Linked DNA regions of Drosophila melanogaster. The protein of the gene in region 1 interacts with the protein of each later gene in a pairwise test. Each region holds a gene or a part of one and is shown in the gene's direction. Other genes may lie near its edges. The genes, in order: CG11007, CG15282, CG13919 and whe.

The links.
Region 2: the proteins of CG11007 (region 1) and CG15282 interact in a two-hybrid assay, tested with the Drosophila melanogaster proteins (one large-scale study listed by BioGRID).
Region 3: the proteins of CG11007 (region 1) and CG13919 interact in a two-hybrid assay, tested with the Drosophila melanogaster proteins (one large-scale study listed by BioGRID).
Region 4: the proteins of CG11007 (region 1) and whe interact in a two-hybrid assay, tested with the Drosophila melanogaster proteins (one large-scale study listed by BioGRID).

The regions. Positions count from the first base shown.
Region 1 is NT_033778.4:19,501,455-19,505,154, forward strand, and holds CG11007 (uncharacterized protein), read left to right. Parts: upstream 1-1,613; 5' UTR 1,614-1,733; coding exon 1,734-2,549; 3' UTR 2,550-3,140; downstream 3,141-3,700.
Region 2 is NT_033779.5:14,710,675-14,713,662, forward strand, and holds CG15282 (uncharacterized protein), read left to right. Parts: upstream 1-1,796; 5' UTR 1,797-1,912; intron 1,913-1,968; 5' UTR 1,969-2,067; coding exon 2,068-2,079; intron 2,080-2,150; coding exon 2,151-2,378; 3' UTR 2,379-2,444; downstream 2,445-2,988.
Region 3 is NT_037436.4:1,643,786-1,646,520, forward strand, and holds CG13919 (uncharacterized protein), read left to right. Parts: upstream 1-1,681; 5' UTR 1,682-1,756; coding exon 1,757-2,152; 3' UTR 2,153-2,196; downstream 2,197-2,735. Other genes in the region: alphaCOP (coat protein (coatomer) alpha), read right to left, coding at 1-170, 227-1,172; CG17249 (uncharacterized protein), read right to left, coding at 2,197-2,735.
Region 4 is NC_004354.4:21,401,777-21,404,697, reverse strand, and holds whe (what else), read left to right. Parts: upstream 1-1,925; 5' UTR 1,926-1,980; coding exon 1,981-2,238; 3' UTR 2,239-2,359; downstream 2,360-2,921.

The DNA.
Region 1 (3,700 bases):
AAGTGATCGCCATTTTGTGCCACTTATCAGTTGCAGTTGTCATTGTTTTGGTTTTGCCTTTTTTTTTGTCATTTCCACACACAAGCCTATTTGTTTCCAAGCTCTACGGGAAGTTTCGATGGGGCTGGGAAGTAGATTTGTGTACTTGATATGGCTATCAGAGCCCTGGATCTATAGACCAGTTTTGCTTTTTAGCCGCAGCCAAGATGAAGGGCTCTCGTTCCCATCACGAGTGTCCCTGTACTCAAATGGCTGACAATCTTACGAGACTTTATTCCAAACCAGATTAATCCGGCTGCCAACACACTATAGCATGCTGGCAAAGGCATTTGTGATTATAATATTATTAAAAACTGACCTAAGTGCACGTTGTTTACTGAAATTTTCACTTCATTTTTGTTTTGGCGCAGACAAGGTGCAAAAGCATCAACACCTTAGATTTGACTTTGATTAGTCATGATCTCGGATTTTCGAAATATTTTCTGTATTGATTCCCTATTTCATTTCTATCAAGTTGTACAAAACAGTGCACTTGAAAAAATCTTATTTTGTTTTAAGTTAATTGTTTTTAATATATTATTACCAAAGACACTAGAATTCTTATTCTATTGTCTTATTCTAGTGTCTTTGTTAATACTTTTTTTACTATAAAGTGAATGATTGGTTGAATTTAAATATAAAGCCACGAGAAAGTTGTTTGATTCGATAAGGAGGTTACTAATAACACAGTTGAAAATATTCTATAAATAGAAGCAAGCTCACTTTATTTGCCAGTGTATTGAACATAAAATAATCGCTGTATAAACAAAGAACGGCCTACTAGTGAAACCAGTAAAGAGGTGGGTGATCGATCCGATGGGGATCATGGAGATGACCCTCGTAAATTGGTCTCAATAATACGATTAAAAATAAATCGTTTAGTCCAGTGACGCGCACAGTGTTTACTACAAAAAAATTAATCTTTGCACAACGCGGAGAGTCAGCCACGATGGCGATAATACTGGTGATGCTCTATGAAGTGGGTACAAAATTCTCACAGTATTCACACAGTTCCAAACACATTTAATTTAGGAACTACAAAAAAAAAGGCCAAAATAATATTTGGGTGATAAGGCGACTGATGGAAGCCACGAGCGTCTGAGATCACGTAGAGAGCCAAGCTTTTTCGCAGATTTGAACTCGGCGTGTGTGCCGATAATGAAGATCCTCGATGCCTTTTTTTTACCTTTTTTTTGCAGTGGCCTTTGTGTGCTAGGTCAACAATCTCTCAATGACTTTAGCAAAATGCTGATGTAACAATAACTCGCTTATCAGTTTCGGTTGGTTTTCGGGCAAACAAATATGGTTGTCCCAAGTTCTGTTTATGGTTTTAACTTTTGATTAATTATCATTTAAAAAAAATGCTAAATACTAAATACTAAATACTTGTAAGATAATAATGCATATAAGTAAATAAAACGTATCAAAGAACGTTTAAGAAAGGCAAACTGTTAATTGATGATTTTGAATTTGAAAAGGCGCCAACGAACTAATACCATTTCCAGCACTGACAAGAGTGCCACTGTTCTTTTATCAGGTGGCAACGCCCGTGCCAGACAACTAGGCTGCTAATTTCTAGTCAACGGCGAGGCTAAAATTAACAATTGGCTGTCAAAAGCAAGAAAAGAAAAACTCGGGAAATTGTTAATTAAAATCGTGACCCAGATCAGCGCATTCAGCCCCCGGACGCAGAGATGACGTGGAAGAAGCAGATGGCTCTGCTGGCCAAGCCATACTACTGGGTTAACATACTCCTGGCCATATCGTACCTTTTGGCCAAAAAGACGCAGTTCATCTGCACCCGCCTATTTATTCTCGCCGGAGAGGATGAAGCATGCGACCTGGACAGTCGTGAGGTGGAAATCTTGTTCTTCCTGCTAATCGTGGTGATGATACGGTCACGCAAAACGGGCAGTGTCACCATGATTAACTACTTGGCCTCGTCGTTCCTCTACACCAAAGTGGCCAACGCCATTTTGTGGGCCTACGCGGACTTCCGCTACGGCCTGGGCTTTCTGCTTCTATGCGTCCTGGTGGGCATGGTGCTGCCGGAGCCCTCGTATCGCGGACCCGAGCACATCACCTACTTCCGCAACGCACAGGTCTTCGAGGAGGAATTGGCCAGGGACAAGCGAACCAGCTGGCTGATCTGCTTCTACACGGTGTGGAATCCCAGCTGCGTGAACTTCGCCCCCGTTTTTGCTGAGCTCTCCGCCGAGTACAACACGGACCACCTGAAGTTCGGCAAGATTGACATTGGACGCTTTCCGGACGTGGCCCAAAAGTATCGCATCTCGGACAGCAGCTTCTCCCGACAGCTACCAACTGTGATCCTGTTCCAACAGGGCAAGGAGACGGACCGCAGGCCCTGCGTCGATTCCAAGGGTAAACTGCAAAAGTTCTTCTTCTCCAGCGACAATGTGCGCGCCACCTTTGGCCTTAACCAGCTGTACAAGGAGGCCATCGAACGACTACCCATTGCGCCCAAGGAGGCCAAGAAGGTCCAGTAGGCTGTCCTGTCCACCACTGGTGCCATCTCATTTCTGCGTGCACGTGCTAATAACTGTTATTCGTTTAGTTCATAGTTTATTTTAACTTATTGAGGAGCTGCCACCGCCAAAGACACGTACAATTGCACTAATATTTGCATTCTAAACTCAGACGTGCTCTCGTCGCGATGCCATTGTAGAAAATATTTGTATGATCTTGCATTTGCATAAATTGTAGCTAATCACCAGGTACCAAATATATTTAAAAATGTGAAATGAGTCAACGAAAATACGCAGTTCTTTTTTAATTCCCAGCCGAGTCTAACATTTCATTCAATTAGCACAGCTCAAACGATCATTTCCGGTGCTCGTTTAAGAACAAGTAAATATTAAGATGGACTGGACAAGCGTAAATTGAAAGAATGTAATAAAGAACTTACGCTGTATACAAATAGCTAGTAAAATAGTGAAAATATAGAGAATGAATATATAGTTTCAGAAAGGTGCCCATACTGGTTTTCGGTACAAATGTATATAAAGTGTTTGTGACAACCCACAATTTTATGACATATTTATTGTATTTTATACGTTCTGACTTGCCGCTTAAAACAGAAACCTTCGTCGTATCCCCCCGGTTTATGAAATATAAAACCAAATGGGCCCGTTGTTGCTGCCAATGTGTTGAGCAAAATTGTATGGCAATGCAAATGGCACAACAAAAATGTTTCCGGCGTGTTGCGTTCTGTTCCGAAATGGCCCCGCAGACATCGGCCATATAGACAGATCGTATATGGATATATATATATATATATACATAAGAACCCAACAGGCCAGACGCAGAACGAAATAAACGCAAATCCCTTTTATCCATTCAATATGAACACACATACGTATAGAGAAACGGACGAATTTAAATGCATAAATACAGGCGACTGCACACCAATCACCACCCACCGCACACCGCCCACAACCACCCCCCACAGATGTGAGCAAGGCCTTTGTGGTTAATATTTGTATTTTTCTTTACTTTCATTGAAACGGCATGAAAATGGCCATTGCATTTTACGTGAATTGTATATGGTAAATAATGCGATTGTCTCACACGGCCGTTTTATTTGCGGAAAATTTAAATTCGCCATGGCAATTGGGACAAGATTCACACCGTCCTGAAG
Region 2 (2,988 bases), on another chromosome or scaffold:
CATATTCAGCTCCAGGAATTTGCACCCACCTGCAGGTGGGGCATAACATTCTGACTGGGCTAATGCATTGCTAGCCACCCAAATAACCTAAGACATTGCGTCGCACGGGGGTGCCAAAGAAGTCAAGCCAAGTTACTAGTGCCAAAAGTTTAAAATTAAACGTAGTTATATCAAAAAAAAAACAGCTTGGTTGGAAACGTAGGGTACTACTGAACTATATATAACGAAGAATGTGTATCTTAAATAGTTTAAATGTTTTTTTTTTACTATTTTATTTAACCTTTCTTTCATTCGCCAATACCAACTTAACGTAAATCAAGAAACTAACGTAGTCAACAGTTTGTTGTTTACCTATCGGTGACGCAAATATTTAATTATAAATTCAGCTCGATTAAAGTTTAAAAGAGCAAAGAATGTCCCAAAAATGTTGCGTTGTAAGCAAAAGGCTAATTATGTTTATGCAAAGTGTTTTTTTTTTGAACTTATGGAACCTAATGGAATATAATTTGAACAAAATTATTGAAAATTGACGGTAATTGAAATGAATTTGAACAAATTTCAGTGCACGGCTTTGGGTGTCGTGTTGGGCCACCATCAAAGGAGTCAAAGAGCGTTGAATGTTGAATGTTGCAACTTTGACACGCGACGCAGACGTTGGCCCAGAGTGTTTTCCCCGGAGCTCTGCAATTTTAAGGGCCTAGGCCTCCCGAAAAGGGTTCATTAGACATTTTACCAAAATTACTGCACATTTCCAAAAAGCAACGGCTATATGATTAGTTTTGAAGCGGTGGTTTATTTGAAGTAGAGGGTTTACTTTGATTTAAGTTAAGTTGAGCGAGTTTGCGTTGTAAGTTACTTGAACATTAAACGGATAAAGTCACTAGTACCCACACTAAACAGCTTACTTGCCAACCGGGAAGAGGGACTTGTGGTGCCCGACTAAACACAAATTCGATGAAATAAAAATAAATTAGCTGCTTTAAATGAGCCAAATAAATTCATTTAGGGTTTTATGCGCTCCACTGAAGTATGCCAAAAGGCACCGTCTTCGTCGTCGCAGTCTTTCGCATCACCCTCTTTTCGGATGGCAGGGTTAAGAGCCAAGTTAAAGGCAACACGTATTGCCAAACTCGATTGCCGCTGGCGCCGCACACCAAATGCAATTTCACTTCACCCTCGTCGAGGTACGGTAAAATTTCCAGGGTCTCCGGTCTCCGGTCGCCAGTATTCCCCATTCGCTGCAGGTGATTCCCCATCGAGACACTTATCTATTGAGTGAGCTTGGTTCGCTTCGTTTGGACCGCTCTTGAAGTGAACGCCAACGAAATAAGAAAACAACAAAGTTTCTTTTGATTATGTCAATGGAATTTGTTTATCTCAACGAAATGTAACCGAATTGAAAAAAATATGTTTTTTTTACGCTCATTTGCATTTACTTTTGCCCGGATATAAATGTGGCAATTGGAAGGGGTGATTTGTTCAAATGTCCAGCTCAGTAAGATTCAATAATTATATATACACGTAACACATTAATGTGATTCTATGGTAAACATTAGAGTAAGGAAGCAAATTTGTTTTGAGAACCCCAGAAACAAAGGCATCATCAACAACGTCAAGTAGCATCAACAACGTCTAGTTTGGGTTCAATATATTGATTCTTGGAAACGTGCCTCTAGAAACTGAATAGCTTAGTCATAAATTCAGTAAAAATACTATTTAAATATAAATTGGCAAACTATTAAAATTCATATCAAAAGCCACGCACCTGGCGCCTGTTCCCCTAAAAAAAAATGGAAACCGGTCAATAACCACAACAAATTCAAAACCGGATTGGAAGAGAAACGCTGGTCACCTGTGAGGAAAGCCCCCACGTCTGGTCCAGTGTCTGGGACAAGTTTTTATTTCAGTGCGGGTAAAGAACCTCCGAAATTCAAACATTATATGAATTCAAAAAAATCGTATAAATAGAGAAAGACGTGACAGAAAGGGCACAGTATCGAGTGCAACATCGAAGCATCCTCATCTTCTGGGATATTAGTACAAATTGAATTCATTTTCAAATTCAATATGAAATTCTTGGTAAGTTTGGCCACCAGAGCTACACCTCGCAGGGATTAAGGACTTTATAAAAATAATAAACGGCCATTCAGGTGATCGTTTTTGTGGCCCTTATCGCCGTTGCTTCCGCGCTTCCTCAATTCGGATATGGAGGATTCGGTGGATTCGGAGGATTCGGTGGCCAACAGCAGCAGCAAGAAGGATTCGGCGGTTTCGGAGGCTTCGGAGAACAGCAACAGCAGCAGGAAAGCTTCGGTGGATTCGGCGGATTTGGAGGAATCGAGCAGCAGCAGCAGCAGCAACAAGGAGGCTTCTTCTAAGGCTGTTACTTTAGTTCCTCGACTAAAAATTAAAATAAATTATTTGAACGTATTAGTATAACAAACACAAAACAGTTTTTGTTTTTAAATACTCATTTACATGTTTTGACAATGGCTTATTGTAGGCCTTTAGATCGACAGAGATTTTATTAATGAGTAACCTTCATTTATTTCGCTTGCTTATAAATACGTTTGGGTTTATTTTTTTGGACATAAGCAACATCAAGAAAAATGAATTATTAAATTAAATTAAAAATTTGTGTTTCAACATAAAAAATTGTTTTTATTTAGCTAATCGAAAATCACTTAATGGGTTAATGACATTTTTGTGCTATAACAACATTAATTGCAAACACTTGAATAATTCGCAAATGATGTTGGCATAAAAACCAAAGGCAGATACTGACTCATGCAAAATTGTGAAATAACCAAATGTTCTGACAGCAATAATTTAACAAAAAACCTAATTTGATTAGCGAAGAGCATACGCCAAGAAGAGCTGATTGCAAACCTGTATTTTTAGTGGGCCCGTCAACCCCAGATACTTGAACGTTTTCAACAACAGAAAAAATCCCCTATAAACACAAACGTTCACAATGATTTGAACAGG
Region 3 (2,735 bases), on another chromosome or scaffold:
GTACGACATGCTGTACACCGGCGACTTGCCTGGTCGAAGCTGCATAACCACAGTGTCCTTAGTGGTGGTAAAGTCCAGTTTGCGAAGGAAACGTTCCTTGACGTAGTAGAGAATATTCCCGTGGACAGCATATGCAGGACGCTCTCGCTCCAGTTTAAAGACCACCATACCTGAAAGAATATGTATCATTACAAAAAATTCCTATTCCTAAAAGAAATCAACTAACCTCCATCGTGGCCAGCTGCAAACAGATTCAGGGTCGGATGCGCTGTAAGTATCCAGAAGCGCTCGTTGTCCCGCCGGAATGTAAAGAGGCACTGGCGCTTGGTCATGTCCCAGACGCGAATACTGCGATCTTCGCCGTTGGAGAGAATCAGGTCTTGCCTGGGATGGAACAACACGCTGGACACGTTGTTGTAGTGACCGCGACAGGTGTCGACCTCCCAAGCCTTGTACTCGTTCATGCGCCACAACTTCACAAGGCGATCATCGGCACCGGAGACAATCAGCGGCAGGGTGGGATGGAAACTGGCCCAGTTGACGCCACGGTCGTGGCCCTCGAGCACGTGCTTGACCACGGCATCTGCTTGGCCAAACAGATCAGTGGCACCCGGATGACCCTTTAGGTGGTCATCAAGCCCACCGGGCCCGGGAGCCACGTTCTTCTTACGCAGCCCCGAAATGTCCCACACGCGCACCGTCTGATCGAGTGAAGCAGAAACGATCTGATCCTCCGTGGGATGGAACTGGGCGCACATCACATAGTGGTTGTGGCCCGTCAGCACGCAGATGCAGTTGCGCGACTGCCAGTTCCAGATGCGTATGGTCTGATCGTCGGAGGCGCTCAGAATCCATGGGTATTCGTGGTGGAAAGCCACCGTGCGCACATAGTCCAAATGGGCCAGGAGGGTAAAAATGCATCGGCGTTGCTTGTAGTTCCACACCTTGATCTTGTAGTCGTCGCCGCCAGAGACGAAGAGCGGCATCTGCTGGTGGAAGGCCACGCCTCGCACCGGTCCGTCGTGCTCGTCGAACTTCTCGAGGAGCGTGTGCATCCGGTAGTCCCACAGCTGGATGACGCCGCTGTGCAAGCTGACCAGGATCCAGGGGCGCTTAGGGTGGAAGGAGAGGCCCTTCACCCTCGCCGACTTCGACTCGAAGTTGGTCAGCATGGTGGCACTTTTTCTGTTCTGCCTGTAGGTGTCTCAAATTGGATGCACTTCTAGGTGTCGGCTTATCCGTCAAGCGCCCTTTTTTTGCTGGTTCGAGCACTTGCCTGTATCAAAACATCAAGAGGTGGGTGTTAGAACAAACCCATTTTATTGATACGCTACAAGTAACACGTAATATACTGCCAACAATTAATTTTATGAAAAACACCAACCAATCGTCGAAATTGTGACACGTCAATTATCTTCTTCTTCGCGACCCAGTCAGTGTTGCCAGCGTTGGCAGATGTGCATACACTGGGAACCATAAGTTTTCAAAAGTACACACATGAATATGAATGAATTATCATGCTCTCCAGTCTTCTTTATATAGTTAAATATACAGATTTTACGTGATATTTTTGAATATATTTAATCTTCGTCAATAATATTCGAAAATTGAGTTGGTAAATGTATTTCTACGAACACTTTTAGTGACCACTGTAATCGTAGTTTTACAGCACTGGACAAAGTGCATTCTATTCACGGTAACTTCGCTTTGTTTATTTTCTGTAATACCATGGAAAATATATAAATAAGTGACAAAGATGACACTGGCACACCGGGCGCTCTTCACTTGGTTTATCGTCCTGGTCTTCCTGATTCTTCTGTGTCTCCGCCTGGACCCACGCACCACCTGGAATTGGTTCGTCACCTTTACGCCACTCTGGTTCTTCGATGTGATCATTATCATCTACGTGATCATTAAATTTATCCGCAAGTGGCGGAACCTAACCTGCCTGACGGATCTCCTGTTCCTCTACAAATGGAACATTGCCGGCGTCCTGCTGACCATCGCCTCCCAAGTGATGATCTGCCTAACGCTGGAGTACCCGCAACAGATTCCCATATACGTGACCGTTGCCCCGGTCATCCTGCTGCTGAGCACCGCCATCTTCTATGTTGGCAGCAGGCTGGGAAAACGAGAGGGCTGGATACAGTAATATTAAGCATATATTGTAGGATTAGGTGTACATAAAGTGAAAACTCAAAAGCCGTATTTGCTTTGGGTGGCCCGACGGGTCTGCCGGTTGGCCGACCACATGGCCTGCAGCTCGGCTTCGTTGGCCTTCGCCTTGTGCGCCAGGTAGGTGATCTGGTGCTTGCGCCGAGTCCCTGCCACCGGCTCCTCGTCCGTCAGCACGCCGGTCGGTTGGAAGGTGGTGGACGAAGCCAGAGCCGATCGCATCCATTCCTCGCGATCAGGTAGCACCTGAGACCCAGATATGTCGATCACCTGCATCTCCTTGGCCTCCTTCCGCCGGCGCTTGGCATTTTTGCCCACCAATGCGTCCATGGCCTCTGCGTTTAACTGTTGCTCATGGTAGCGCTTTTGTGCAATCTGAGACTGCTCTTCCTGAAGTCGGGCGGCTTCTGCTTCGGCTGCTTCCTTCTCGGCTACCTCCTCTAGGTACTTGCTACTGGCTTCCACCATCTTGGCCGCTCGCTTGGCCACTAGAGCGCTAATCTCGTTGCTGCTCACCTCAGGCAGCTTTTGCTCGGAATTCAGGGAGAAAAAGTCTCCAG
Region 4 (2,921 bases), on another chromosome or scaffold:
CATTAGCAGTACGTTCCGGATGGATATGGATGCGGATGCGAACGAACGAGGATGCGGATGATGCGAATGAAGATGCGGAGGTGGGGCAGGCGATCCCATGACCATGCGAACCGGACTTCGACACCAGACACTAAATGCCTCATCAGCATTCCGGTGAGTGTTTATCTGAGGGTGTGAGTGGATTTGCGTTCGGGTTAATCAAAATGTGACCGATGGCAACGACAGCTGACCGCAAATCAAGGGAACGTCCGGGCGGCCAATTACCCCAATAATCAGAACCCGTTGGGAAATCTTTCTAATCGTCCTTGGCAGCAGTCCTGTGGACTGCTACTTGGTATAGATAACTACTAGCTAATAGCTGGCATGTGAAAAATCAGCTAATATCTATATCCGTATCCTTTAAGCTCTCATTAAATTTTTTAGCACACGAATAAGAAATTAAGTTTAGATGAACTGATGGTACAGAAAATGTAATTTATATCTGAAGAGCCATATATCAATCAAGCCATAATTGAAGCGACCGCCAATTCTTGAGGTTATAACGATTATCCTGTTCCCTCCGATTGAACTCAGAAATGAATCCAGACATCTAGAGCTTTGTATCGCATCCTGCGAGTCCCTGTCGTACACCCATGCTCTCCATAAAGCTACCACATAACGGCAGCCACATAGGAAAAGTGGAAAGTGCGGTGCTGAAGTGGAATATCCAGTCCACCGAGCTGGTTTTAGAGCGTCGAAATTGCCTTTTTATTGACAATTCACAGCACGCGCCGTTGAAACAGATCATCAAAGGTTATTACGACTACAGAAAAGGTCCTTTTGTTGCTGTTGTAAATAGATTCATAAGCAACACTACATGCCGGCAATTGCGAGACAGGAAAATAAGCGAAAAGAAATCCTGCGAGTGAAAGTGTTAACACTTAGGGTAAGCTATACACTCGCTGCAAGGATACTATATGTGGATATTCGAGAGTTGGTGCGTGCACTTCTCCGCGGGATAAAGGCAAATTTCAGTCTGAATGTCAAAGTTTGAGCCTGGCAGTACTTTGAAATATTCATAAGAACGAACACTAAGAAAAACAGGGTTAAAGTTAGCTCTCAACTACGATAAATAAAAAAATGTATGCTGGCTAAAAAAAAGAGCACGAAATAACGAAATTTAATGCAAGGTCCTGAAAATAGGCTCGTGTTGCAAAAAACCGGAAAGCAAGAAGCCGAAGCTCAATGTTGAAACATTTGTTTAGTACCAGAGATATGAATTTCCAAGTAGAACTCACACACGGTCATAAAGCAATAAAGCGGAATCATGTGCAGAAATTTTTATAAGTTAGGTGTATCATCCAAGTGGCAAATGCTCCAGGATCTTAGAAATGCGCGGAGTGTGGGATTTGTGGGGGCGAGACAAGTGCAAGTACTTTCCACTTTTTTTGGCCAAATCCCAGCAAAGAGCTTAAGGTTTCAGCTCAATTGTTTTGCCCGACTTTATTTCATTGCCATTTTTATATTTCCCCATCTTGGGTGTGCCGAGAAAAGCTTTAAGCTAAATCAAAATGCATATTTACGGAAAAGAAAAATCTATGAAACAGAAATCTTATAGTTAGATACTTTGCTAAAATAAAAAAGAAACGAAAAAACCTAAAGCTGTTCCAATAAATCTACATTTTATTCATTAGATCACCCGGAATAGCTTTAGGAAGTAAGTATAAATATAATGAATCTAAAGTTTCACAACCACGAGGTTAGTTTGTTTAATATTTTAAGATCACCAGTTGGCCAAGTATTTCCATTATGAAGGGTTTACACAACTTCACTTGGGTCATCGCTGTTTGCACAATGCTTCTGTTTGTCCATCGAAAACATAGAATTGCAAAACACCTGCAATAGATCCGATTCCGTAGAGATCTCCGAGGTATATATAGGGCTCGGGTGCAGTTGGTGAAGTCAATTGAATTTGCTAAGTCAATCATCTACAAAATCAAAATGCGTGTAATCTTCCTCATCGTTGTGCTCGCCATGGTGGCTCTGGCTGCTGTCCAAGGACGTCGTCCTCCAGGACTTCCGCAGGGAGGTCTGGGACCACTTCAGGGCTCTGGAGGACTCCAGCCGCCGCAGGGAATACCTCAGGGACCTCCCCAGGGACTCCCACAAGGACCTCCCCAAGGTGGCAACTCATCCTCCTCCGAAGACTCTTCCTCCCAGGAGAGCTCCAGCGAGTCCTCCAGTGAGGCGTCCGCCTAGAAACTCGATCGCCGAGTCCTTCATGTAAAAACATTCAAAAATCTTTAAATAAAGATATATATTCTGCTTATTTCAATATATAAAACCGTCCACCGATTCCATTAACTGCACCGATTTCCATTTCGAACTCCGAGTAATGGTTGCGTTGCTCCTGCCCGAGGAATGGAAATGGAAATGGGCCTGGGTGTGGGTGTGGGGGCGTGTCTCAAATCGGTTGCCTAAATAAGAAATCATTTTATTTGAAAAGTTTCCCTTTGGCACGCCCCCTCCAGCTGCCACCCCACTTTTTGGAAGGCAGAAGACGGCGACGTCTGCGTTTGGCGACACCAGCAACATCGGGCGAAACAAAAGCAACAAGGGCAACAGCGGTACAACAAAGCGAAGACACCAACAATAAGCTGAAGCAGCTGAAGGCGTTAGGAAGTACCCACACGACTTGGAAATACCTATTGTACGTATGAATTAAAAGCAAAAAAGAACAGCATAAAATATTACTTTCAAAGAGCGTAAAGCTACGTAACTAACAAGGCAACTAGATAATAAGCTATTAAGATAACAACTATTTGTTAAATGGCTTTAAATGATTAGGTACAAATCAAAGGATATTTCGAAATGATAATTGTGACAACTGATAAATTATGCAACTGTATAAAAACCACCGATAACTGGTTTCAAAAAATTAA